4 linked regions of the Canis lupus familiaris genome follow. The protein of the gene in region 1 interacts with the protein of each later gene in a pairwise test. Links are inferred from orthologs where the notes say so. Each region holds a gene or a part of one and is shown in the gene's direction. Other genes may lie near its edges.

Evidence for each region.
Region 2: the proteins of USHBP1 (region 1) and CNNM3 interact in binary tests that used the Homo sapiens proteins (3 or more experiments, as listed by UniProt). The two-hybrid records come from large-scale screens. The link is inferred for Canis lupus familiaris from reciprocal best matches to the Homo sapiens genes USHBP1 and CNNM3.
Region 3: the proteins of USHBP1 (region 1) and SEC14-like protein 4 interact in binary tests that used the Homo sapiens proteins (3 or more experiments, as listed by UniProt). The two-hybrid records come from large-scale screens. The link is inferred for Canis lupus familiaris from reciprocal best matches to the Homo sapiens genes USHBP1 and SEC14L4.
Region 4: the proteins of USHBP1 (region 1) and MED4 interact in binary tests that used the Homo sapiens proteins (3 or more experiments, as listed by UniProt). The two-hybrid records come from large-scale screens. The link is inferred for Canis lupus familiaris from reciprocal best matches to the Homo sapiens genes USHBP1 and MED4.

What each region holds. Positions count from the first base shown.
Region 1 is NC_049241.1:45,884,161-45,888,351, forward strand, and holds the start of USHBP1 (Usher syndrome type-1C protein-binding protein 1), read left to right. Parts: upstream 1-1,391; 5' UTR 1,392-1,528; intron 1,529-1,809; exon of another isoform or gene 1,810-1,867; 5' UTR 1,868-1,941; coding exon 1,942-1,995; intron 1,996-2,092; coding exon 2,093-2,241; intron 2,242-2,454; coding exon 2,455-2,893; intron 2,894-4,191.
Region 2 is NC_049231.1:46,207,699-46,214,148, reverse strand, and holds the start of CNNM3 (metal transporter CNNM3), read left to right. Parts: upstream 1-2,294; coding exon 2,295-2,638; intron 2,639-2,749; coding exon 2,750-3,675; intron 3,676-6,450. UniProt on the Homo sapiens protein: Probable metal transporter.
Region 3 is NC_049247.1:24,016,583-24,023,063, reverse strand, and holds the start of SEC14-like protein 4, read left to right. Parts: upstream 1-2,325; 5' UTR 2,326-2,386; coding exon 2,387-2,440; intron 2,441-5,462; coding exon 5,463-5,538; intron 5,539-6,481. UniProt on the Homo sapiens protein: Probable hydrophobic ligand-binding protein; may play a role in the transport of hydrophobic ligands like tocopherol, squalene and phospholipids.
Region 4 is NC_049243.1:3,360,978-3,367,438, forward strand, and holds the start of MED4 (mediator of RNA polymerase II transcription subunit 4), read left to right. Parts: upstream 1-2,305; 5' UTR 2,306-2,333; coding exon 2,334-2,458; intron 2,459-4,930; coding exon 4,931-4,997; intron 4,998-6,461. UniProt on the Homo sapiens protein: Component of the Mediator complex, a coactivator involved in the regulated transcription of nearly all RNA polymerase II-dependent genes.

The sequences.
Region 1 (4,191 bases):
AAAGAAGGAATCGCCTTGGCAAAGGTCCTGAGACTTGCAAGAGCCTTGGAGCGATGGAACCTTTAAGAGGTTAATATGGCTGGAGCAGGGGCGCCTGGGTGGCTCAGTGGTTGAGCATCTGCCTTCAGCTCAGGTGGTGGTCCCAGGATGCTGGGATCAAGTTTCACATCAGGCTCTCCGCGGGGAGCCTACTTCTCCCTCCGCCTTGTTTCTGCCTCTGTGTCTCTCATGAATAAATAAATAAAATCTTTTTTTAAAAAAATGGCTGGAGCAGAGGCTAAGAGTGTAGATTTCAATGTGCCTGGGTGCCCCCAAGTCAGAGAATTGCAACTTATTTCCTTACCAGTTTTGGGGACGCAGAAGCAGGAAGACTCAGCCTCCTCTGTCTGTCAGCGGAATGAGGAAGATTCAGGCTACTCCAGGCTCTGCGCAGTTTAAACCAAGTGTAGGGGCACCTGGGAGGTTCAGTGGTTGAGCGGCTGCCTTCAGCTCAGGTCCTGATCCCGAGGGATCCTGGGATTGAGTCCTGCTTCGGGCTCCCGGCAGGGAGCCTGCTTCTCCCTCTGCCTATGTCTCTGCCTCTCTCTGTGTCTCTCATGAATAAATAAAATCTTTAAAAAATAATAAATAAAAAATAAGCCAAGTGCAGAAACAAGGAAAGGGTTACAGCATAACCAAAGGCCCTGGGATGTGAGAATTGTGAACCTTCACCTGTTCACAGAGGGGTCATCATGGCTAAAGCATGGAGTATACATGGGTGCAGACAGCAGGCATTATTTTTAAGGGCCTCGAATGCCGGGTAGAAGAGCTTGAAATGTTTCCCAAGGGCAATGGGGAGTCATGGAGGGTGTGTGAGCAGAAGAGGTGAACAATGAGGTCTCTGTCTCTGGGGCCTGGGAGGGGAAGGGAGTCAAGGGGTGGGTGGCTGTAGAGTCCACGGAGAGAGAGGGGCTGGCATCCCGGTAGAGGGGAGAGGGTTGGGCTGTTATGGAGGGAGATGACGAGGCCCTTTAGAGATGGATGCAGGAAAAATGGGCAGGATGTAGGGGCGATCTGTGCCCTGAGGAATCCAGGAGAAGCAGCAGCTGGCAGAGGAAGCAGAGATGGGAGGGCCGGAGAGGCAGCGAACAAGAGTGGTGTGTTACAATTCAGTTCTTGGATGGTGCTCAGTCATGTGCAAGTTGCTTGTTAAAATTCCCATGACACTGTAGACAGATCCTATAATTAAAGCCCCCCCCCCCCATTTTACAGATAAGGAAACTGAGGCTCAGAGGCGGAAGAGACATGAGATTGGAGGCTGGGGCAAGGAAGGACCGACAGGTCAGGAGCTGGACATGTGTGTCCCACCGGGACTGGAGGAAGCTGATGTCCTTGAGGAGGAAATAGCACAATAACAAGTCACATGACCAGGGGAGGGGGCTTCCTGTTTCCCGGCCTCTCCCAAGCCAGCCTTGGCCAGCCCGGGGCCTAAGCAAGCAGTGGCCAGAGCTACCCCAAGAGTGTCCAGGGATTTGGGCTGCTGACCAAGGTATTCCTAGAGGTACAGAGGAGTAGCATTAGAGCAGGCTGAGGGGACCCAACCCCAAGATTGGGGCCTCCGACTCAAGAGGACCCTGGGGAGGAGAGGTGATTCTTGAAGTCCTCGAGCCAGGTCCAGATTGGGGACCGAGGGGAGCACAGAGGTAGTGAAAGATAAAGGAGGCAAAAGACAAGGGGAGGTGGGAACAAACTTGTGAGGTAGTGAGCTGCCTGTCAGGAGGGGTATTCAAATGTGCCAGCTCAACACTGGTAATTCAAGATCCCTCCCAGCGGGAGGAGATCGATGCTCATTTCATAGAAGAAGGTATTAAGGCTGTCATTCGCCCAGACCAACAAAGACAAGAGCCGAGATCAGGCTGCGGCTTTCGGAAAAAGAATCAGAGGACTGAATTCTGGACAGCAATGAGTGCCCGGGCCACGCGACCCCGAAGCCGGCGAGGGAGGCACGCGCCACCTGTAAGTGCCCCCTTCCCTGCCGCATCCAGCTCTTTGGGGTCACTCACCCCCTCGCCCCCGGCCTGGCTCGGAGCTTGGCCCTGTGGGTCATTTTCAGGGGGAGCTGGATCCCGTGGCGGAGAGTTCAGAGGAGGCTGAGGCAGCCAGCGGGAGCTCTGAGCTGGGCCCTGTGCCATCTCAGGAGAGCTGCGAGCCGAGGCTGCAGGGGCCAGAGGCAGAGGCCAGTGGGCAGGGCCTTGGGAACAGGTAAGGTCCCCTCCGTCTGGGCTCCCACTCCGGCCCTGGTGTGTCTTTCCTCCCCACAGATCTACCTGTGTTCCTCCCTTGCTCACACACACGCCGTAGCTTCCCACTGCCCTCCTTGCCCAACTTTCAAGGCCCCGGATAATGCACCCTCTGTGAGCCAGCCACCCCAGATGACCCCATTTCCAGAACCTTCTGTCTCTCACTTCACCACAGGACCAACAAAGAGGCTGAGGGGGACTCTAGCAGAGGACTGGCCCCATCTCCCGAGGGACCCCGCAAGCCTGCAGAGGAAGGCCACCAGGCCAGAGATGTAGCTCCACAGGATGGGGAGACTGTCCCCCCCAGGCCTGAAGCCTCTGACGTGTTTCAGGTTCTCCAGCATGCTCTGAGCTCCCTGGAGGCGGCGGCGGCTGCCTGGCGCCGCCGGCCCCCCAGCTGTCCTGGGCCCGGGGAGGCAGAGGACAGAAGTGAGGTGGGACCAAGGCCCTGCTTGGAGCAGGAGGGGGCAAGTGGTTGCCAGAGGGAGGCAGCCAGCCTGGCAGAGAGGAATGACTGGCTACGATTGGCCTTGGGCAGCCGAGAGGAGGAGCTGATTCGCACGCAGGCCTCCCTGCAGGCCATCCAGGGGGAGAAGGAGATGCTGCAGAGAGAGGTGAGGGTCTCGACGTATTGTGCTCTACCTCTGAGGGTTCTCTGTCTAAGGGGGAGGCGGGCCTGGCATAGGCAACCTTCCATTGTTTGTTCATTAGAAAAACTCTTACGGAGGGACGCCTGGGTGGCTCAGTGGTTGACTTGAGTTGAGCCTTTGACTCAGGTCATGATCCCAGGGTCCTGAGATCGAGTCCCACATCAGGTTCCCCACAGGGAGCCTGCCTCTCTCTCTGTGTCTCCTCTGAATAAATAAATAAAATCTAAAAAAAGAAAGAGAAAAACTTTTATGGAGCGTTGACTGCTGCAGAGCCCTGAACAAAGGTGCCTTGCCTTCTTAGATAAGGTGGTCAGAGATGCCCCTTGAGGAGGTGACACTTGAGCCAGGAGGTAAGGGAGGAGCCATGCAAGGATCTGGGGAAAGAGCATGCCAGGCGGAGAAGGAGCTCCCTTCCAGAGGTGGGAGTGTGAGTCAGGGAACAGTGAGCAAGCCAGTGTGGGGGTGAGGGGAGGGCAGGTTAGTGATGGGGGCAGATTTACACGGTCTGTGGGCTTCTGGGAGTTGGGCTTTGGCCCTGAGCCTGGTGGGCTCCTGGGGGGTTCCCCCTCGCCCCCCCACCCTCGCCCTCCCGCGGCAGAAAGGGGCGGGACCTGGTGCCGCGGTCACAGGCGCCCTCTGGTAGGCATGGGAGGAACAGCCGGCGGATCCGCGAGGCACTGGTCCAGACACCAGATGGTGGAAACTGTGGAGGTGGCACAAAGTGGGCAGATTCTGGGTGGTGTCGAAGGTGGAGCTGGCAGGTTTGGGTGTGAAAGCCAGAGAAGGGTTGAGGACAAGTCCTGGTTTGGGGGCCTGCGGGACTGGGAGCCAGAAATGCAGGACCAGGAGCTGTTGGGACCCTAATGAGTTCAAGAAACCCCTGAGCCACCCATGTAGGACCATCAAAGACACAGTTGTGGGGTCAGAATCCAGAGCTCAGGGGAGATGTCAGGACAAGAGAAACACATCCCGACCTCTTTAACATGTGGATGGAATCTAAAGCCATGTGGCTGAAGGAGATGGGGGAACAGGCCCTCATCTTGGGCAGGCCAAGGTGGCAAGATATGGGGCCACCAGAGCCCAGCCTAAGGGGTGGGGCCCACTTCCTGGCTGGGAAAGATGATCCCCGCTCCACATTCCTCTCCTCACCCCCACCCACATTCCTCTCCTCACCCCCACTGCCTCTGGCACCCACCACTCTGTTCTCTATAACTGTGAGTTCAATTTTTCGTTTTGTTTTATCTTAGATCCCAAATATAAGT
Region 2 (6,450 bases), on another chromosome or scaffold:
TGTCCTTGCTCATGAACTGGTGGTGGCCTCAAAGTTGGACAGCTCAACCCCTGAAGAGCCCCTCTGAGAGTCACCCCACTGCATTCACTCCTGAGGTATCTGTGTGCAGACTCATGTGGTGCCCATATGTACTGTACTGTGTGGCTGTGGTGTGTAGTCAAGTGTGCTGCGACCAGGGGCCCAGGCTAGCCAGGCTTACCAGAGCAGACAGATGGTGGCTAGTGCTTTAAAAAAGGATACACTTCAGGAAAAAAAAGAACATTTCAGATAAAATCACAGATGCAAAAGCTGGTGTATATAGGTAGAATAAATTTCATCCGCCCATATGTTCCACACACGTGTCAGGTCCTGCTACGTGCCAGGTGCCACCAACCCCTCAGTAAGTGTAGTGAGGAAGAGTCCCTGAGGGAGACAGTCATGCCAGGACCTTTGGATTTCCTGTCTCCACCCTATGGAACACTCTTCTCCCAAGTCTTTGTGAGGCTCACCCCCTCACTTCATCTAAGCTTCCGTTCAAATGTCATCTCCTTGGAGAAGACTTCCCCGGTCAGCGCATCTAAAACAGCGTGGCCCCAGTCCCTCTGTCCATTTATCTTGCTTTGTTTTTCTCCATAGCGTTTGTCAGATATGAAAATGAGGATTTGTATTTATCTTTTTTTTTTTTTAAAGATTTTATTTATTTACTCATGAGAGACACAGAAAGAGAGGCAGTGACACAGTCAGAGGGAGAAGCAGGCTCCATCCAGGGAGCCTGATGTGGGACTCGATCCGGGGAATCCAGGATCACACCCTGAGCCAAAGGCAGATGCTCAACCACTGAACCACCCAGGCGTCCCTCTTTGCTAATTAATAAATTTTAAGGCACATAACTTTCAAGTATGTCATCCATTCTATTTCAGTGTCAGCGTTTTATGTGGACTTGGGAGACAGAAGTGTGAATCCATAATTTTTTTTCTTCAAAGGAGGCATGCTGATCCAGTGGAAAGGCTCAGTAGTGTCATTGCTTCTGCTGGCTCGTAAGTGAGGCATAGCACCCTCTAGATAATAAAAACCAAAAACATGGAGACGTGGTTGGCCTAGTCACAGCGCTGAATTTACAACGTTGAAGAGACATTCTCACCATCCTTTGAGGAGTTTTTCACAAAGTATTTTTTCTTTTGATTATCCACAATGGGTCTGCTCATTTTTGCATGTTGCCTTCCACCCGTTTTACTTAATTGTGGTCACAGTGCCTACACTTTTTCTTACTATTTCCATGACCTAGCAAATGTGTTTCTGTAGAATCCTTAGGAAAATTTTAAATGACATGTAGATGTGCACCCTTATCAAAGTCTACTTTTGTTAGGAAATTTGAAAATACATAAAAATGTAAAGAAAATATACAAAAACAATCTGGATCCTTGTAGAAAAGACTTGTTCAGTTTGTCTCCTTCCGGTCATATAAAGATCATGCACAACGGGTGAAAAGCATTCCATACCGTCAAGGAACCATATTGCCTTCTAAAATAACTCTCTAGTAAGGATCCTGTTGAATAGTTCTTGTTCCCGAGAAGATATTTTCCCAAGGATTATCTGCTAGAAGTAGAGTGACCGGTAACAGGAATTTTTGACCGCGCTGCCCCTCTGCTAACGTGGCTGGGAAGGTGACCGGGGTAGTAAGTAGGTCGTGTTGGATCCTGCATCCACCCTAAGGCACGCTTCACTTTTCTCCTGTAAAAGTAGTTTGAGGATCCAATGAGGTAGCGACTTCGTGGGTTTACAGAATTACCGTCGTTCTCTCTGGCAGGAATGCAAGGTCCTTGAAGGCAAAGGGCTAGGTCTCACGTCCCCAGCCCCACAGAGCACAGTCGGGCGCAATCAGCCCTAAGAAGCTTGAGCTTCCCGACGTCGGGGCCCCTAGGTCAGCGGTGCGCGGAGCCCTTCCCTAAGAAACGGTGCGGCCGCCACACACTGGCGTCTCTGGCTCCGCGCCCCGGCTTCCCAGAGCGCAGGTGCGGCCTCGGGGCGCGCCGAGGGCCCGCGGGAACGGGACGCCCAGGTCGCCGGCCACCCCCCTGCCCCGGGAGCCGCGGCCGAGCCCCGCGGCGCCCGCAGCCCCACGCCCCACGCCCCACGCCCCCGGCCCGCCCCGGGATCGCGCCGCCGCTTGTTTACTCCCGGCGCAGCCTAGTCCGACCCTGAGGCCCGCCCTCGCCCGCCGCCTATTGGCGGAGGAGGCGCCAAGGCCGGCGACCATTGGGCCGGGGGAGGCGGAGGGGTAGGCTGCGCGGGAGGCCGAGAGGGGGCAGCGGGCGATGGCGGCGGCGGCGGCGGCGGCGGCGGCGGCTCGTCTAGGCTGGTTGCTCGCCGCGCTGTGCCTGGGCGTCGCCGCCGGGGAGGCCGCGCCGGGCCCGCGAGTGCTGGGCGTCTGTCTGGAGGAAGACGGAGACGCGGGCGCGGGGTGGGCGCGCGGGGGAGAGGCGCGGGCCGCCCCGGAGGCCGCCTTCCGCCTGCGCCTCTTCGGCTCGGGCTTGGCCAACAGCTCCTGGTCCTGGGTGGCCCCCGAGGGGGCGGGCTGCCCCGAGGGCGGGCCGGCCGCGACGCCCGGGGAGGAGGAGGAGGCGGCGGCGGCGGCCCCCGCGGGCGAGTGGCGTGCGCTGCTGCGCCTGCGCGCCGAGGCCCCGCGCCCGCACTCGGGGCTGCTGGCGGTGCGCGGGGAGCCGGGCGGCTCGGCGGCCCGGGAGGCGGCGGCCCCCGCGGGCGAGTGGAGCGCGCTGCTGCGCCTGCGCGCCGAGGCCGTGCGCCCGCATTCGGCGCTGCTGGCCGTGCGCGTGGAGCCGGGCGGCGCGGCCGCGGAGGAGGCGGCGCCGCCCTGGGCGCTGGGCCTGGGGGCGGCGGGGCTGCTGGCGCTGGCGGCGCTGGCGCGGGGCCTGCAGCTGAGCGCGCTGGCGCTGGCGCCCGCCGAGGTGCAGGTGCTGCGCGAGAGCGGCACGGAGGCCGAGCGTGCGGCGGCGCGGCGCCTGGAGCCCGCGCGGCGCTGGGCCGGCTGCGCCCTGGGCGCGCTGTTGCTGCTGGCCAGCCTGGCGCAGGCGGCGCTGGCGGTGCTGCTGTACCGCGCGGCCGGCCAGCGCGCCGTGCCCGCCGTGCTGGGCAGCGCGGGGCTCGTGTTCCTCGTGGGCGAGGTGGTGCCGGCCGCCGTGAGCGGGCGCTGGGCGCTGGCGCTGGCGCCGCGCGCGCTGCTGCTCAGCCGCCTGGCCGTGCTGCTGACCCTGCCGGTGGCGCTGCCCGTGGGCCAGCTGCTGGAGCTGGCGGCGCGGCCCGGGCGGCTGCGCGAGCGCGTGCTGGAGCTGGCCCGCGGCGGCGGCGACCCCTACAGCGACCTCAGCAAGGGCGTGCTGCGCTGTCGGACCGTGGAGGATGTGCTCACGCCGCTCGAGGACTGCTTCATGCTGGACGCCGGCGCCGTGCTGGACTTCGGCGTCCTGGCCAGCATCATGCAGAGCGGCCACACGCGCATCCCGGTGTACGAGGAGGAGCGCTCCAACATCGTGGACATGCTGTACCTCAAGGACTTGGCCTTCGTGGATCCCGAAGACTGCACGCCGCTCAGCACCATCACCCGCTTTTACAACCATCCGCTCCACTTCGTCTTCAACGACACCAAGCTGGACGCCGTCCTGGAGGAGTTCAAACGAGGTAACTGCGGGACATCGGGGAGGGGACACGAATGCCAGCGCCCTCCGCTGGAAGAAAGGGGGGAGGGAGTTATGGAAGCCTCGAGGGAAAGGGTCCCATCCTTCCCTCCCAGGGCCCTTTGAGATGATGGCCTCACAGGGCTCAGTGGCCTCTTGAGATACCTAAAGGCTGTCCTTCAGGGCGCCGTAGAAAGCAAAATCCCCCTTTTCCTGGTAGGCCTGATTTGGGGAGCCGTGTCCATTTGACTTACCAGCTTCAGGGTCATTTTTGTGGGCTTTGGCTTTGTAACAGGCCTATACTCTTAAATAGAAAGGAGGATAGTCTTCAGACACCTGGATGTTATCACCTGCGCACACAGTGTCAAAACAGCTGGGCCTGTGAAGTTTCCAGCGATCATGGTTTTAAGGTCTCTGATGGGCTGCTGCCTTGCTGATAACAGAAGAAGGGATGATGCCTGATTTTCTGCAGGTGTGGAAGAAACTTCCACTTTGATTTCACCAGAAGCAACCTTATGGATGATTTAGTCTCCCTCTTTTCTTTTCTTTTCTTTTCTTTTCTTTTCTTTTCTTTTCTTTTCTTTTCTCTTTCTCTTCTCTTCTCTTCTCTTCTCTTCTCTTCTCTTCTCTTTTTTTTTCTTTTCTTTTTTTTTAACTTCCTCTTTTCTAAGACTGAGATCTTTTGGCGTCTCCCTTAACTCCACAGTTCACCTCCTTTTACCTTGGTTTATCTGAGCAACTCTAAGGTCACATGGGTAAACATGGAGACCCAACCTCCAAGTGTGAAGGTATGGGTTCCTCTGTAGTCCTCTCCATCCTAAGGCGTGGGTGTGCTCCCCAGAGCGTGGCTGCTCTTTGTCCACCAGCCATGCTTCTCCTACACTCCTACAGGATGAAGACGGGGGACACCCCAGGGCTCTGGATGGGCTTGACCCTAAAGGCTGCATAATGTGAGGCTGGGAAGAGAGCAGATCCCCTGATCTTCCTGGCAGCTGTGAAGTCTGCTGGCCCCAGGCCACAAGAGTATAATTAGTCAGGGCGTGGTATTGAAAAGTTGGGCAGTTACTATCCTTACTGTACCTGAGGATTGAGTGGGGAGGCTTTGCTGTGCAGCTCTGACAGCTTGCTAGAGCATCTCTTGGGTGCTCGTGGCTCTTTCTCCCAGAAAGTGGTAATGCAGTTCCTCTGTGGGGAGGGGATGCCCAGGTGGGGTCTCTGATCTCTGGTGGTGAGTACTCCATCTGGGCCATTGTAGTACTCGAGGCAGTAGAGGTTCTTGTGGCCTGGTGGCCAGGACTGCCAGCCCTGGAGTGTGCAGAGGTGGGTTCCAGCCCGCCCCTGTCACATCCCAGCTTGAGACTCTGGGATGGCTGGACTGGATCCTCCAGGGCGCTGACTTTGAGCAGAGCACTGACTGATATGGAGAACAGTGAGTAGGGGGTCCAGCTAAGAAATGATCAAAGGCTGAACGAAGATGTGCAGTGGGCCGGGAAAGGAGATCCAGGACAACTTTGGGAGGTGGAATTGAGAGGGCTCTGTGGTTGGCTGAGGAGCTGTGGAGCGAGCAGGAGGAGCTAAGGGTGAGGCCTGGGTTTCTTGCTTGGGGTGTTGTTCTTCCCTGAGGCAGAGCACCTACAGAGAAAGGAGGTCATAATGGTGGGGGAGGGTGGCACCTGTGAATTTGTTCTGGACATTGAAATTTGTCTATGCTGCGGCCCAATGAAGATAAAGATTTGGTTGGTGGTATAGTAGTGGTCCCTTAAGCCACAGAAGTGGTGCAAAAAGCCCAAACCCCTGAGGGCACAAGCATATAAGGGGTAGAGGGTAGCAGAGGAGAGTTGCTGAGGAGAGCTTGGAAGTTCAGAATGTCCTAGAAGCTAAGGAAAGAGACCACTTAAGCAAGGGAAGGCAAATGATCAGCAGAGGCCAACATCATGTCATTTGGATCCAGCAGCCAGGATACCCTTGATCTTTGTAAGAGCAGATTTGGTGTTCCAGTGTGGGGTGATGGAGTGAACGGGATGTGACAGCTGACATAGATGGGCCTTCCTGGAAGTATGGCTGCAGAGTGGAAGCCAGAGAGCAGTGACAGGGAGAGGACTGGCAGGGGAGGAGGTCTTCTGCTCTTTTTTTATTTTTATTTTTATTTTTATTTTTATTTTTCTTAAAGATTTTATTTATTCAGGAGAGAGACACACAGAGAGGCAGAGACACAGGCAGAGGAAGAAGCAGGATCCATGTGGGGAGCCCAGTGAGGGACCTGATCCCAGGAATCTGGGATCACACCCTGAGCCAAAGGCAGAGGCCCAACCGTCGAGCCACCCAGGTGTCCCTGCTCTTTGGTTTTAAGATGGGCAAGTTGAGAGGCACCTGGGTGGCTCAGTGGTTGAGTGGCCTTCAGTTCAGGTCATGATCATGGGGTTCTGGGATAGAGCCCGGCGTCGGGCTCCTTGCTCAACAGGAAGCTTGCTTCTCTCTCTCCCTGTGCCCCTGGCTCATGCTCTCTCTCTCACTCTGTCTCAAATAAATAAAAGTTTAAAAAACAAAAAAGATGGGCAAGTTGACCGACTTTGGGTTTAGATGTTGACAGGAAGGAGCCAGTAGGGAGAGGAGGCCCATGGTCTAGGCTGCTTCTGTTCTGGAATGGTGGCCTTGAAGCAGCCCTGGGGAACCCGGATGTTAGGGAGCTCCTCAGTCCTCCACGCCTTCCTCCTCCGCTGACAATTGAGGGCCATCTGAGGGCAAATTGGCATCGTCTTTCCTCTGACATCCTGGAGCC
Region 3 (6,481 bases), on another chromosome or scaffold:
CCATGCACTGGGAACCCGACGTGGGATTCGATCCCGGGTCTCCAGCATCGTGTCCTGGGCCAAAGGCAGGCGCCAAACCGCTGCGCCACCCAGGGATCCCTAAATTTTTTTTTTAATTAAGATTTTAAATCCCTCTAGGGCAGTGTTGTCCAAATGAAATACAATGCAAGTCACAAATGTGAGCCACATATGTAATTTTAAATTTCTAGTAGCCACATTTTTTAGAAAGTAAAAGGAATAGAGCACAGAGGATTTTTAATAAAAATAATAGAACTATTCTGTATGATACCACAGTGGTGAATATATGTCATTGTATATTTGTCCAAATCCATAGAACATGCCACCAGAAGTGAACTCTAATGTAAACTATGAGCCTTGGGTGATAATGACGTGTCAATGTAGGTTCATCAGTTGTAACAAATGTCCCACTCTGGTGGAGAATGTCCATAGAGGGGGAGGCTGTGTGTGTGGTGGGAGGAACAAGGTATGTGCGACACCCCTATACTTCCTGCTCAATTTTGCTATGATTCTAAAACTGCCTTTAGGGATGCCTGGGTGGCTCAGGGGTTGAGCACCTGCCTTCGGCCCAGGGCGGGATCCTGGAGCCCCGGGATCGAGTCCCACTTCGAGCTCCCTGCATGGAGCCTGCTTCTCTCTCTGCCTATGTCTCTGCCTCTCTCCCTCTCTCTCTCTGTGTCTCTCATGAATAAATAAATAAATAAAATCTTTGAAAGAAAATAAAAAAATAAAACAGCCCTTAAAAATAAAGCTTATTCATTAAAGAAATTCTAAAGCATAAAAAAGTAAAAAGAAACAGATGAAATCAATTTTAATAATATATCTTATTTTTCCCAATATATAAAAAATTGTTGCAACATGTAATCAATATAAGAAATTAATGAAATACTTCATTTGAGGAGTATTAAGTCTTGGAAAGTTGGCATGTATTTTACTCTTAGAGCACATCTGCATTCGTGCTAGTGACCAGCCACAGTTTCAATACTCAGCAGCCACATGTAGCTAGCTCATGGCCACCAGAGCTACAGCAGAGATCTAGAATTTGTTCAACTCAGAGGGAGGGCAGAGGGGGGAATGTTCTGATGGCCTAATTTACCTCCTCCTTCACTTTCACCTTCCACCTGCTGTCTCTTGAAAATTCCTGCCCTGCCAACCTGTGTTTTCTCACCTTTCTCAGCGAACCCTGCCTGATTCCCGGATGTCATCCTGACCACCTGTGTCAGCCACCCACCACCCGGGGTCTCCTGAGCCTTCCACCACCCCACCGGGGCTTCCAGTGACTACTGTCCCCTCCCATGCCCTGGCCTTCAGGCTATAGATTCTACCCAGGTGCTACCAGAGGGGCCATCCCAGAATTTCCACCTATGCAGCCCCTCCCTGTTCTGGTGAAGGCATCAATCATAGTAATTATTATGGAACAATAGTCCTCATCCTGGAGACCCGGGATCGTGTCCCACGTCGGGCTCCCCGCATGGAGCCTGCTTCTCCCTCTGCCTGTGTCTCTGCCTCTCTCTCTCTGTGTGTCTCTCATGAATAAATAATAAATAAAATCTTTAAAAAAAAAAAGTCCTAACATTGCACACTTAAGTGGAATGCCAGGCTAACCCATGGCGGATCATCTTATCTAGTCTTCTGACCATCTTGGAGCTGGAACCATTTTGCACATAAAGGCCTCCATCAGCTTGTGAGCACGGATAGGGCGCTCCTAGCCAGTGGTCAAGGCCAGGGCAGGGAGGTTGGGGCCCCTCGGGCAGAAACTCCCGGACACATCTAGAGGGTGGAGTCTGGTTTAGGAAGCCCCAGTTCCTTGGGCAGCCCGGGTGGCTCAGCGGTTTAGCGCCTGCCTTCAACCCAGGACGTGATGATCGAGTCCCACGTCGGGCTCCCTGCATGGAGCCTGCTCCTCCCTTTGCCTGTCTCTGCCTCTCGCTGTGTCTCTCATGAATAAATAAATAAAATCTTAAAAAAAAAAAAAAAAAAGAAAGTTTTAAAAGGAAGCCCCAGGTCCTCCAGCTTGCTGGGGAGGAGAGCCGGGTGTGCTCCCCGAAGCTGCCCGCAGGTCCGCAGGCCCGCCCGCCCTCCCCTCCACTCAGGACCCCGTCCGAGCCCCCGCACGAGGCGGCCTGGAGGTGGCGGCGCCTGCGGCCTCCCCTCGAGTCCGCTCTCCGGGCTCCCTGCCCCGCGTGGGGCGCGCCCGGTCCACCGCCCGCCGGACACCCCGGGGTGGGGGGCGGGACGCGCGGGGCGGCGCTCTCGGCTTGGGGCGGGGCCGACATCTGAGCCCCGCACAAAACCACGCGGCGGCTGCGGGCCTGGCGGGCCGGCGCCCTCCTGGCACCCCCGCGCCCCCCCGCCGGCCCGCGGCACCATGAGCGGCCGAGTCGGGGACCTGAGCCCCCCGCAGCAGGAGGCGCTGGCCACGGTGAGGGGCTTCGGCCGGGAGGCTCGGGAGGGGGGAGCTGCCTGGCGCTGCCCACCTGGGCTGGAGCCCCGGCGTTTGGATGGAAAAGGGGTCCTTGCGAGCCTCCTGTCCCGCGCACCCCCTGCGCCCAGTTGCTGAGGCAGACGTGTATGGGACACTGGCCTTGAACCCTTCCCTGGGCTGCCCTGGGGCCAAATCCCGCTTTCCCCTCCCGCCCTCTGCGCCCTCTGCGGCCCTTGTCCCCGGCCCTTGTCCCCTGGTTTTGGGGGTGGGGTGGTGCTGCCGTCCCCGGCAGCCTTGGGCACACCGCCCCGCAGATCTCCTGCCCGGATTGCAACATCTGTTTGTTTGGTGTCTTTGTGGCTTTCCGACTCCCCAGGGGGGAAGCCATCTCCCCATCGCTGGTGTTTCCATTAAAGAGGAATGGAGGGGTTTGGGGGATTTCAAGGCAGTCCGTCAAGCTGCCGCTGAGAGTGTCACACCCTGGGGAAGGGGGACATATTCAGGTCTTAGGTGCCACAGCATTAATTTGATTAGGAGATGGCAGGGCCTGGAAACTGTGACTTTACGTTAGGGGAGTGGGGTGACGGACCTACCTGGCTTACACTTTGGGCCAAAGAAGGGCAAGTTTCGGACTTGGGGAGACTATGGTTTCTTTTATGGCTCCCACCCTGGGGAGGATCCTCCAGGGAGGAATGAAGACCCCCCATGGAGGAGGACCCTGGATGAATTCCTGGTGAAGGAGAGAAGGGTCCCAGGTGAAGGGGGGGGGGGGGGGCTGGGTGAATTTCCAGGTAAAGGATGAGGTTCCAGGAGCAGAGAGTCTTGAGCTGAAGGAGGGGTCCCCAAGAGAAGCAGGAGGGGGAGTCCCCTGGTTAACCCTCTCCCTCCCCACTGGCAGAGGCCTCAGGGGAGCCCTGACACTAGGCTCTTGGGAGGGGCTGGACACCTGGCCTTTGGGGGTGAATTATGATGGAAATGCTTGTGGGTCAAAGAGCTTTAAACAATGTGAAAAGAGTTTATTCTTATTTTTTCCCATTATTTAATAGAAATGAATGCTAGTTGTTTTAAAAATTAGGGAGAAAAAGGAAAGTAGGAAAAAGAAGTCACCCGTGGTCCCAGAGATCTAGACAACCATGCCTAGGAGCATTTCCTTCTAAGTTTTTTACCTTAGCCTAGTTTTAACCACCTTGGTTGGGCTGCCAGAGGCTGCTTTCTCCATTTGGCCTCATTGTTCTTTTTTGTTTGTTTGTTTTGATTTTTTTTTTTTTTTAAGATTCTATTTATTTATTCCCGAGACACACACAGAGAGGCAGAGACAAAGGCAGAGGGAAGAGCAGGCTCCCTCGGGAGAGCCCAATGAGGGACTCAATCCCAGGACCCTGGGATCACGACCTGAGCCAAAGGCAGATGCTCAACCACCAAGCCGCCCAGGTGCCCCAGTATGGCCTCATTGTTAAGATATTTTTTCCATTAAGTTACTCTGGACCCTTCCCAGCACCTGCTTAGTGGTCTTATCTTTTACTTGACGTGCGTCCCAAGGGTGGGGTGGCTTTGAGACTGGAAGGTGTGGACTCCTCCTGGCCTTGTAGCTTTTTTACTTTGTCCATGGGGAAGACCCTCCAGCACCCCAGCCTCCCTTCCCACATCCACAAAGCAGGGATGTGACCCTTGCTTCTCCTGCCTCAGGGCACATCCCAGAGGTTCACAGGAGGAACTCTGGTAATCTGAAGGGGCTGAGCGTGCAGAATTATTATTTCTTGGTTATTGTGACTCTCCGTCACTCCCCCTAAAAACTTCCTCAACTGATCCTTGTGCCTGCTGGGACTGGGTGGGCGATGATGATAGCTGGTGCTCTCGCTCACCTTAGTTGTTGACACTGGAGATTTTTCGTCTTTTTATTTGTTTTTCATTATGTGATCAATACATGAACACATTCTTTTTTTTTTTTTTTTTTTTTTTTTAAAGAGAGAGGCAGAGACACAGGCAGAGGGAGAAGCAGGCTCCCAGCAGGGAGCCCATCCCAGGACCCCAGCATCGTGACCTGAGCCAAAAGCAGATGCTCAACCACTGAGTCACCTAGGCGACCCCACATTCTTATTTTAAACATCATCCATAAAGCTAAAGGAGGTTTGGTGGATGGCTGTCAAGATAGCATCCTCTGGCTTTGCTAACAATGACTTCTAATCCTAAATTCTCATTCACAGTTTCCCACAAACCCACCCCTCCAGGGTTTGCCTTCTGCTCCCTTAGTCCCCATTGAAGTGGGGGACAGTTCTCTCCCAGAACTGAGCCCCAGACCCATACCTAAACTTTCAACAGCTTTCCCAAACTCTGCCAGTGGGCAGAGCCTGCGTCAGCAGGTCAGCCCCTCTCTTTCCCCAGTCTTGACGGGCCTGATGCGGCATCCCTGGCTTCTCTTGCAGTTCCTCCCTGCTGACCTTTGCCTGGGGTTGTTTCCACAAAGACTCCCCTGTCTGGAGCTCCGAGCAGTCCACATTTGCTGAGTGCCCACATTTTTCTGGCACCTGCTGCAAGCTAAGACTGATGCTAAGTGCTTTACCTGTACACACTCCTTTGACTGGCACAAATTTATCTTTATCCCCACTACACAGATGAGGAAACTGAAGCTCAGAGTGGTTCAGTAACTTGCTTTCAAATCTAGACTCATAAGATCCAGTATCAAGGGCAAGGTTCCTAAATTGTTCTGGTTTGCCTGCATCAGATTCACCAGCGATCTTTGTAAAAATGAGGATGGCAGGGCCCCACCTCAGACCTATAGAATAAGGATCTTGGGGAGGCAGAGAACCCCCAAAGTTGAGAAGGACCCAACTCTGGTTGCCGTGGTGGGGTGCTCCATTCCCAGTTGGCAAAAAGATCCAGGCAGCTGCTGCTAACTGTGTGATTTCCACCCTGCAGGGTCCCTGGGAAGGACTGACAGGCTGAGTTTAAGAAGGATCGGGGTGGGGTTGGGAGCCCAGGGATCATGGGAGCACCACTGACCATTATATCTCCCCCTCAGTTCCGGGACAAACTCCAGGACCTGCTGCCCACCCTGCCCAATGCCGACGAGTACTTCCTCCTACGCTGGCTCCGAGGTGAGGCTGGCAGGGTCAGGGAGGCAGAGGGGGAGAGAGGGAAGAAGAGTTTCAGGGAAGCTGGTGGGACTTTGGAATCTGAGCTCCCCTCCAAATCAGCAGGGCACAAAAAACCCATCCAGCCTCAATTTCTTCATCTATAAAGTGGGATGGGACCACCTCCCCAAGGACTGTTGTGAGCGTTAAATGAGAGGGTGTAATACCTGGCACTGGGTGGGCACATGGTCGAGGTGAGCTTGGAGTTCACACCTGGGAAGGTCTCAGGGTGACTGGCCTGGCCAGGCCTTGAGTCAGATAGGCCTGAATATATTCTTCAGGACTTGCCTGTGGGTCTGTCTCCAGTTCCTTGAAGGCAAGGCTGTATGGTCCCCTGAGGAAACCTGGCCACCCAAGCAGGTGCCCAGCAAATACTTCAGGAAATGGATGCCATTAAAGGTAGACAAGGAGTTTCTTCCAGAAATTGCCACAATAGTGTAAAATTAGAATAACAGAAACCAAGGTGGGGGAAATTCATTCCAATTCAACACACCCCATGGTATGTTGTTGAACTTGAATCAGGACAGAAGTCAGAAGCCGGGCTGGGAAGTGCACACACAGCCTCAGAATCTGGCAAACCTGTGATCGAATCTCAGCTCTGCCGTGTGCTAGCAGTGGGCCTATGGCGCTCACTCATTGACTCAGCCTCACTTTTCTCTTCTGGGTAATGGGTATAAAACTCGTCCCCGACCTTCAAGATGCTGTGAGTCAGACATGAGGTCATGGATGTGCACAGCACCTACTCAGAGGAAGCCCTCCCTTCTGTTCTGTTCTGTTTGGTACATTTTTTAATTATTACTTTTTATTTTTTTTATTTCTAAAATAAAGCATCATATTTTCAATTAAAGTGAATTTATTTCTTCAAAATAAGTAATCACAACAATAGTTAACCATTTACTAGGAAGTT
Region 4 (6,461 bases), on another chromosome or scaffold:
TTCGGAGTTACCTTGAGTTATTTATTAACTATTAAAAATATATATGATATTCCTATCAGTTATAAAATAATTCGTATTTTCTTTATCACACCAGAATCTGCAGTTTGCCATAGAGTATGCCTGTAGGAAATGTTATTTCTTGTCAGTCTATGGACAACGTTCAATACGCATATGACTTTGTGATGAATCTGAAGAGGTCTGGCATTCACAAGACACATATACTGTCCATCTACTAACCCTCCATGCCTGCAAAGTAGGACCTATAATTGGTCATTTTTAAGTGATTAGGGTTTTAACTGATTGTATGTGGAAGCTACACTAATAGGATCTCCCCACTCCCTGCACCAGAATCATGCCCAAGATGAACCTATGAGAAGAAAACCAACACAGACTACAGTTGAGCCCCTCAGAAACTTAAGAAATCACTGACCAGAGCTGCTGGCAGGTATGCTTGGAATACAAGGGTCATTAGGAAGCTTAAATCTAATGTATTCCATTGTCTGAGAATGGACCATATTTAGAGAAGGGTTTAGCCAAGAGCAGAAGTAGGGAATGGTTGGAAAACAAAAGGTGTCCTCAGGTCTCTTGCATGGTCTGGGGACACAGATATTCCAATCTCTTTACTACAAACATCCGTATGCTATGTGGATACAAATCCTGATGGTTAAAAAAAAAAAAAAAAAAAATCCTGATGGTTGCATTTTTTTTTTAAAAATCTATATTCATTTGTTATAATCCAGGTTTACCAAGCCACATTCTGATGATAATTGGTCTTCCTGTATAAGTTTGTCCACAAGGAAAATTGTGCTTGGCACTAATATTTTTTATTGTAAATGAATAAATCAGCATTCTGGATTGTATAGCAGTTGCTATGAATGGTTTTGTTTTGTTTTCGCATGAGTCCCTGAGGAAATCCTCAAGTCTGGGTACCCAGCAGGAAGCAGGCTAAGCACCTCCAAGAGAACAGGCCAGAGGTCAGGATGACAGAATGAAGGAGACACTCCAAGCTGTTGTCTGTAGGTGACATCTCTCCATCTCATCTTTGAAAATCACAGCTTGGCCCCATACAGAACCCGCATCCCCAGTACTGTTGCAACTTTGGGTTTTCCTGATAGGGAGAGTTTCCAACTACATTGCTCTCTCCAGGAAAAGTGAGTTGAGGCGGAGTTTGGGCTTTCATTTGGAATCTGTGTTGTATTGATTATTTAAACCATTTTCATACACTACCTCTTACCTGCTATATTTACTCATTCACTTCCAACAGGCATCTTGATCAGTGAGCAAAACACTTTGTTGGGAGATAGATGGTTATAAAGATGGATTGTGAAGCCGTAGAAGCAACCCCAATGTGTGCGGATGAATGAATGGATAAGCACAATGCGATGGCTATACGTTAGGGAATATTGTCCGGCCTTAAAAAGGAGGGAAATTCTGACACGTGCTAACACAGGGATGGGAGTGGAGACATTACACTAAGTCAAATGACACAGTCCCCAAAAGACGAATATTGTATGATTTCATTTATATGAGGTCCCTAGAGTAGTCAAAATTTGGAGACAGAGGGTAGAACGGTGGCTGTCAGGGGCTGGGGCAGGAAGGAAGGGGGACTTGTTGTTCAGTGGACACAGTCCCAGTTCTGCAAGATGGAAAGAGGTAATGGATGATGGTGAAAGTAGCATAACCACATGACTATGCTTAAGGCCCCTGACCCTACACTTAGCCATGGTTAACACGGTCCGTTTTAGGTTATGTGTGTTTTACAACCATAAAGAAAAAGAGGCAGATGATGGCTCTTGTCCTATGGTGCTTACAACCCCTAGGAGAGGCCAAACAGGAGGGTGGGGCTAGCACTGTAGGGATGCACACTAAAGACGGTTAATACTGAGACCAGCCCATCTCACAAAGAAACTGATAGAAGGGGGCATCTGGGGAGCTCAGCGGTGGAGCACCTGCCTCCGGCCCAGGTCGTGACCCCGGGTCACGGGTTCGAGTCCCACATCGGGCTCCCTGCAGGCAGCCTGCTTCTCCCTCTGTAAATAAAATCCTAAAAAAAGAAAAAAGAAACTGATACAAGATGTAAGTTGTTATGCAAATTTCCCGACAGGCTTAAAACCCCTCCCATTGGTGCTTGAGCCCTGAGCGCCCCGAGCCTGCTCCCAGGGCTGCACAGCGCCGCCGCCCGCAGTGCACCGCCAGGCACGTAGGGGGCGCTGCGGCCCCGCCTCTGCTCCGCGCCCCCCCCGCCCCGCCTCGGTGGCCCTCACTTCCGCTTCCGGAGCCCGCCTCCGCGCGCCGGGGTCTGCGCAGTCTCCGGCTTCCGGCCCGCGAGCAGCATGGCGGCGGCCTCGGGTGGGGAGAAGGAGAAGGAGCGGCCGGGGGGCGGCGCGGGCGCGGCGGGCGGGAACAGCACGCGGGAGCGGCTGCTGTCTGCGCTGGAGGACCTGGAGGTCTTGTCGAGGTAGGGGCGTCGGGCGGGCGGCCTGGCTGGAGTCGGGGAGGCGGCGCTCCGGAGACCGCGGCGGGGTCGTGGCCTCGAGGTCGCAGCCCCACGAGACCCGGACGCGGCCTCTTCCCCCCGCACAGCCCCCGGGGGACGCTTGATAGCGGCGGTGACCCCGGGACCCTGACACTGGGAGATGGGGGGAGGGGGGACCTGGGGGGGCGCTCGGTGACCTGCAGGGACACCCGGGACCTGACACTGGGAGATGGGGGAGGGGGGACGTGGGGGGGCGCTCGGTACCTGCAGGGACACTCCGGGACCTGACACTCGGTGATGGGGGAGGGGGGACCTGGGGGAGCGCTCAGTGACCTGCAGGGACACCCCGGGACCCCGGCACTGGGAGATGGGGGGAGGGGGGACCTGGGAGGGCGCTCGGTACCTGCAGGGACACCCGGGACCTGACACTCGGAGATGGGGGGACTGGGGATCTGGGGGGGCGCTCGGTACCTGCAGGGACACTCCGGGACCTGACACTCGGTGATGGGGGAGGGGGGACCTGGGGGGCGCTCGGTGACCTGCAGGGACACCCCGGACCCCGGCACTCAGAGATAGCTGTCACCTATTTCCATGACTGTGTCCCAGCGGCTAGGACCTAGTCAAAGCAGATGCCATCCTTTGTCTACAGAAGCCACTTAACTTGATTTCCATTCTACTCCTCTTAAAATCCATTTTCCAGGTAGCTTAGCAATTGCTTAAAAACATAAATCAGGTCATGTCATTTCCATTTAAAATGATGCATCAGTGGGGCGCCTGGGTTGCTCAGTCAGTGGGGCGTCCACCTTGGGCTCAGGTGGGTGCAGGGTCCTGGATTGAGCCCTGAATCCGCTCCTTCCTCTGCCTCCCCCTCCTTCATTTTTTTTTTCTCTCTCAAAATAAAAAAATCTTTTTAAAAAAGTTAAAATGATCCAGTCGCTTTCCATTGTACCTGGAATGAAATGCTGATTCTTTACCATGACCTGTGAGGCCCTCACACAGCCTGGCCCGCCTGCCCTCCAGACCCGTCCTCATTGTGTATCCTGCTCCTCGGTACTGACTGCTGTGTCCTGGCCACCCTTCCTCAAACCCATCTTTGGGCCCCTGAACCCGGCTTTTCTCACTTATAGAAGCCCTCCCTGACTCCACCAGTGTGAGTGGCCAGACAACTCACTGACACACTCTAACACTGCTTCAGTTTCTTCCCAGCCCTTCTTCTAACTCTGGTTTGATTTACCTGCTTTCTTGGTTTTTCTCTTCTGTATTATAATTTAAATTCCTTTGTTCACTTTCATAAGCTAGGCATCCAGAAAGTGCCTGGCACACAGTGGAAACTTAAATGTTTAATCAGTGGGTGAATGAAGACTTTCCATTGCCATATCCACTTTATTCATTAATTAGCTAGCTAGTGCATGCATAATGGTATGAGAACCTCAAAGTGGGGAAGGTTGGGTCCAGTTGGCACCATCCAGAAAAATAGTTTGAGGCTGGCAGTAAGGAAGATGGAAATATGAAGGTGAAAATAGTCTGGCGGCCAGTGAGAAGGTACAGGCTTTACTGGGGCTGACTGGTGGTGTCCTGTTGCTAATTGTGCATCTGTACCTCTTGCATAATTTCTGGAGTCCCATCTGTCAGCAAGTTTGAAACTAGTGTATCAGGATATTACCTGATACATATTTTATACTCCTCTTTATACTAGTTTTCATAAAGGAAAATTGGCATGTCTAGTAAATAAGCATTCCAGAAAGATAGGACTTTATTATACATTAGAATCCCTTAGTTGATACCTGTTTGGTTAATTAAAAATTTCAGTTCACATAGAAAATCATTTAAAAAATGATTCATCTACTCCTTAATTTAGGGGGTTTTCTTGCATAAACCACCCATAATGCCTTGTCCACCAATTTCTAGTGTGTTTCGTTAAAGTGAAATGAGGGGTGCCTGACTGGCTCAGGCAGTAGAGTATGCGACTTGATCTATGGGTTGTGAATTTGAGCCCCACCTTGGGCATAGAGATTACTTTAAAAAAAAAAAAAGTAAATAAACTTAAATGCTTATCAAGCAGTCTTAGGGTAGACTTGCTGAATTTTCATGACTTTGCAGTTCTTTGCAGGCAGCTGTTGAGTCTTTCCCAAGTATTCAGTTTAGGTTTTTATGGAAATTACTCTTTTCTGTTGACAGTCATATTTCGTTGGTATTTATGAAATGGATATTTAATATATTTAACTATACTAGTAAAGTAAAACTTGCATAACTGGATCTGGTAACAGACATAACTGAGTCTTGGTGAGAGAGTACCGCTTAGCTGATGAGAGCCCAAGCGCACGGTCACTGGGCAGGGGCTCTGAATACTCAGCATGCTGTGGGTGCCATGAATCTAGCAAGTCAGTTAGGTAGAGATCAGTTAATAAAGCTTCTGTTGTATTTTGCAAAGATGTTTTTGTTTTTCTTTTTTAGAGAACTTATAGAAATGCTGGCAATTTCAAGAAACCAAAAGTTGTTGCCGCCTGATGAGGAAAACCAGGTAAGTGGTTTCTTTTTATATTACAAACAAGAAATCCCCATTATTTGTGCAATTTCCCTATTTACATTTACTTTGTGTGAGAACAGGAAGATTGGATTCTGTTAAATTATAGATTACAATTTTTAAATTGATACTTCGAATCACTTACATAGGGTAACACTGCTTGAGAAGAAAAAAGTCTAAAGGTTTAGCAGTATTGTTTTTTCTTCTAGTTACACATTTATTCGTTTTTGTCTTTTGAATTAACCAACTAATAAACTTGTTAAATGGAGGTTAAAACAATATTTGAAATAAAAAAAGTTAATGCTGTCATAAACTACCTTTTATTATATAGACCTGGTTCCCCTAATGCAACTTGAGAAGTAATAGAAATTAAAGAGCATACAACTGTTAACAGAAGTTATTTTGTGGAGGTTAAATTTACATGTTTTTATTTTCTTTATTCCTTTCTGTGCTTTGTAATTTTCTACGGTGAGCAGATTTTTTTTTCTGATCCAAAACCTTTTTTAAATTAATTAATTTGTATTATTTATTTACTCATGAGAGACACAGGCAGAGGGAGAAGTAGGTCCTCTGTGGGGAGCCCGATGTGGGACTCGATCCCAGGACCCCGGGATCACAGCCTGAGCTGAAGGCAGACACTCAGCCACTAAGCCACCCAGGAATGATCCAAAAACTTTTTAAAGTTAAGAGGGCAAATGTCATTTTATGTGTTTTCTACTGTAATTTAAAAAAAAAAAAAAAAAGTTTTTTTAAAAGAAAACAGCTGGGAAAGATTAACCTTTTTAGTAACAGGAGACATCTCATAGATCTCTTCTCCCTCCTCTCTGCCCTATTATTATCTTAGTTTTATTTTATGATATGTTTTGAGGGCAGAGAAATTCAATTGACTGATAATAGAGAAGTATCATAAAACTTGTTTTCTTCAACGATTAATCCCTTCAGGTGGAGACGGGGAATTAGATACGCTACAAGTAGTAAAAGCTGGGACTTTGGGGGAGATTAAAGTTGTTTTTAGTATGTTGTTTGTTTTTAGGAAAAGCTTATAGAGAAAAATGCTAATAGAGGAATGCCAGTCTCAGATACTTTATTGATAAATACATGTAAAATTAAGTAAGTACTTACTACAAAATGAAATACAGGTTTTGACTTTACTTCCCAGGCACACAGATTATTCAATAGGTCATAACCAAGACCTGCCTGGTCAGCACTAACTTTTCTTATACTTTTTAAGGACTAGCAGTTCTGTCCCTAAAAAATAACAGTACCTTGTCACATAAAGTTGTTGTGAGGATTTACGATACTGCATGTTAAGTACAAATAAGGAGAGCTCAGTAATGGATAATTGTCATCGTCACTACCCAGGGAAAGAATTAAACTTTATACTTAGTGTTGTGAATTCCTGTATAATTTTCAACGAAAGTACTAAATATTAGTTTGGATGTGCCCATATGAAAATTTATT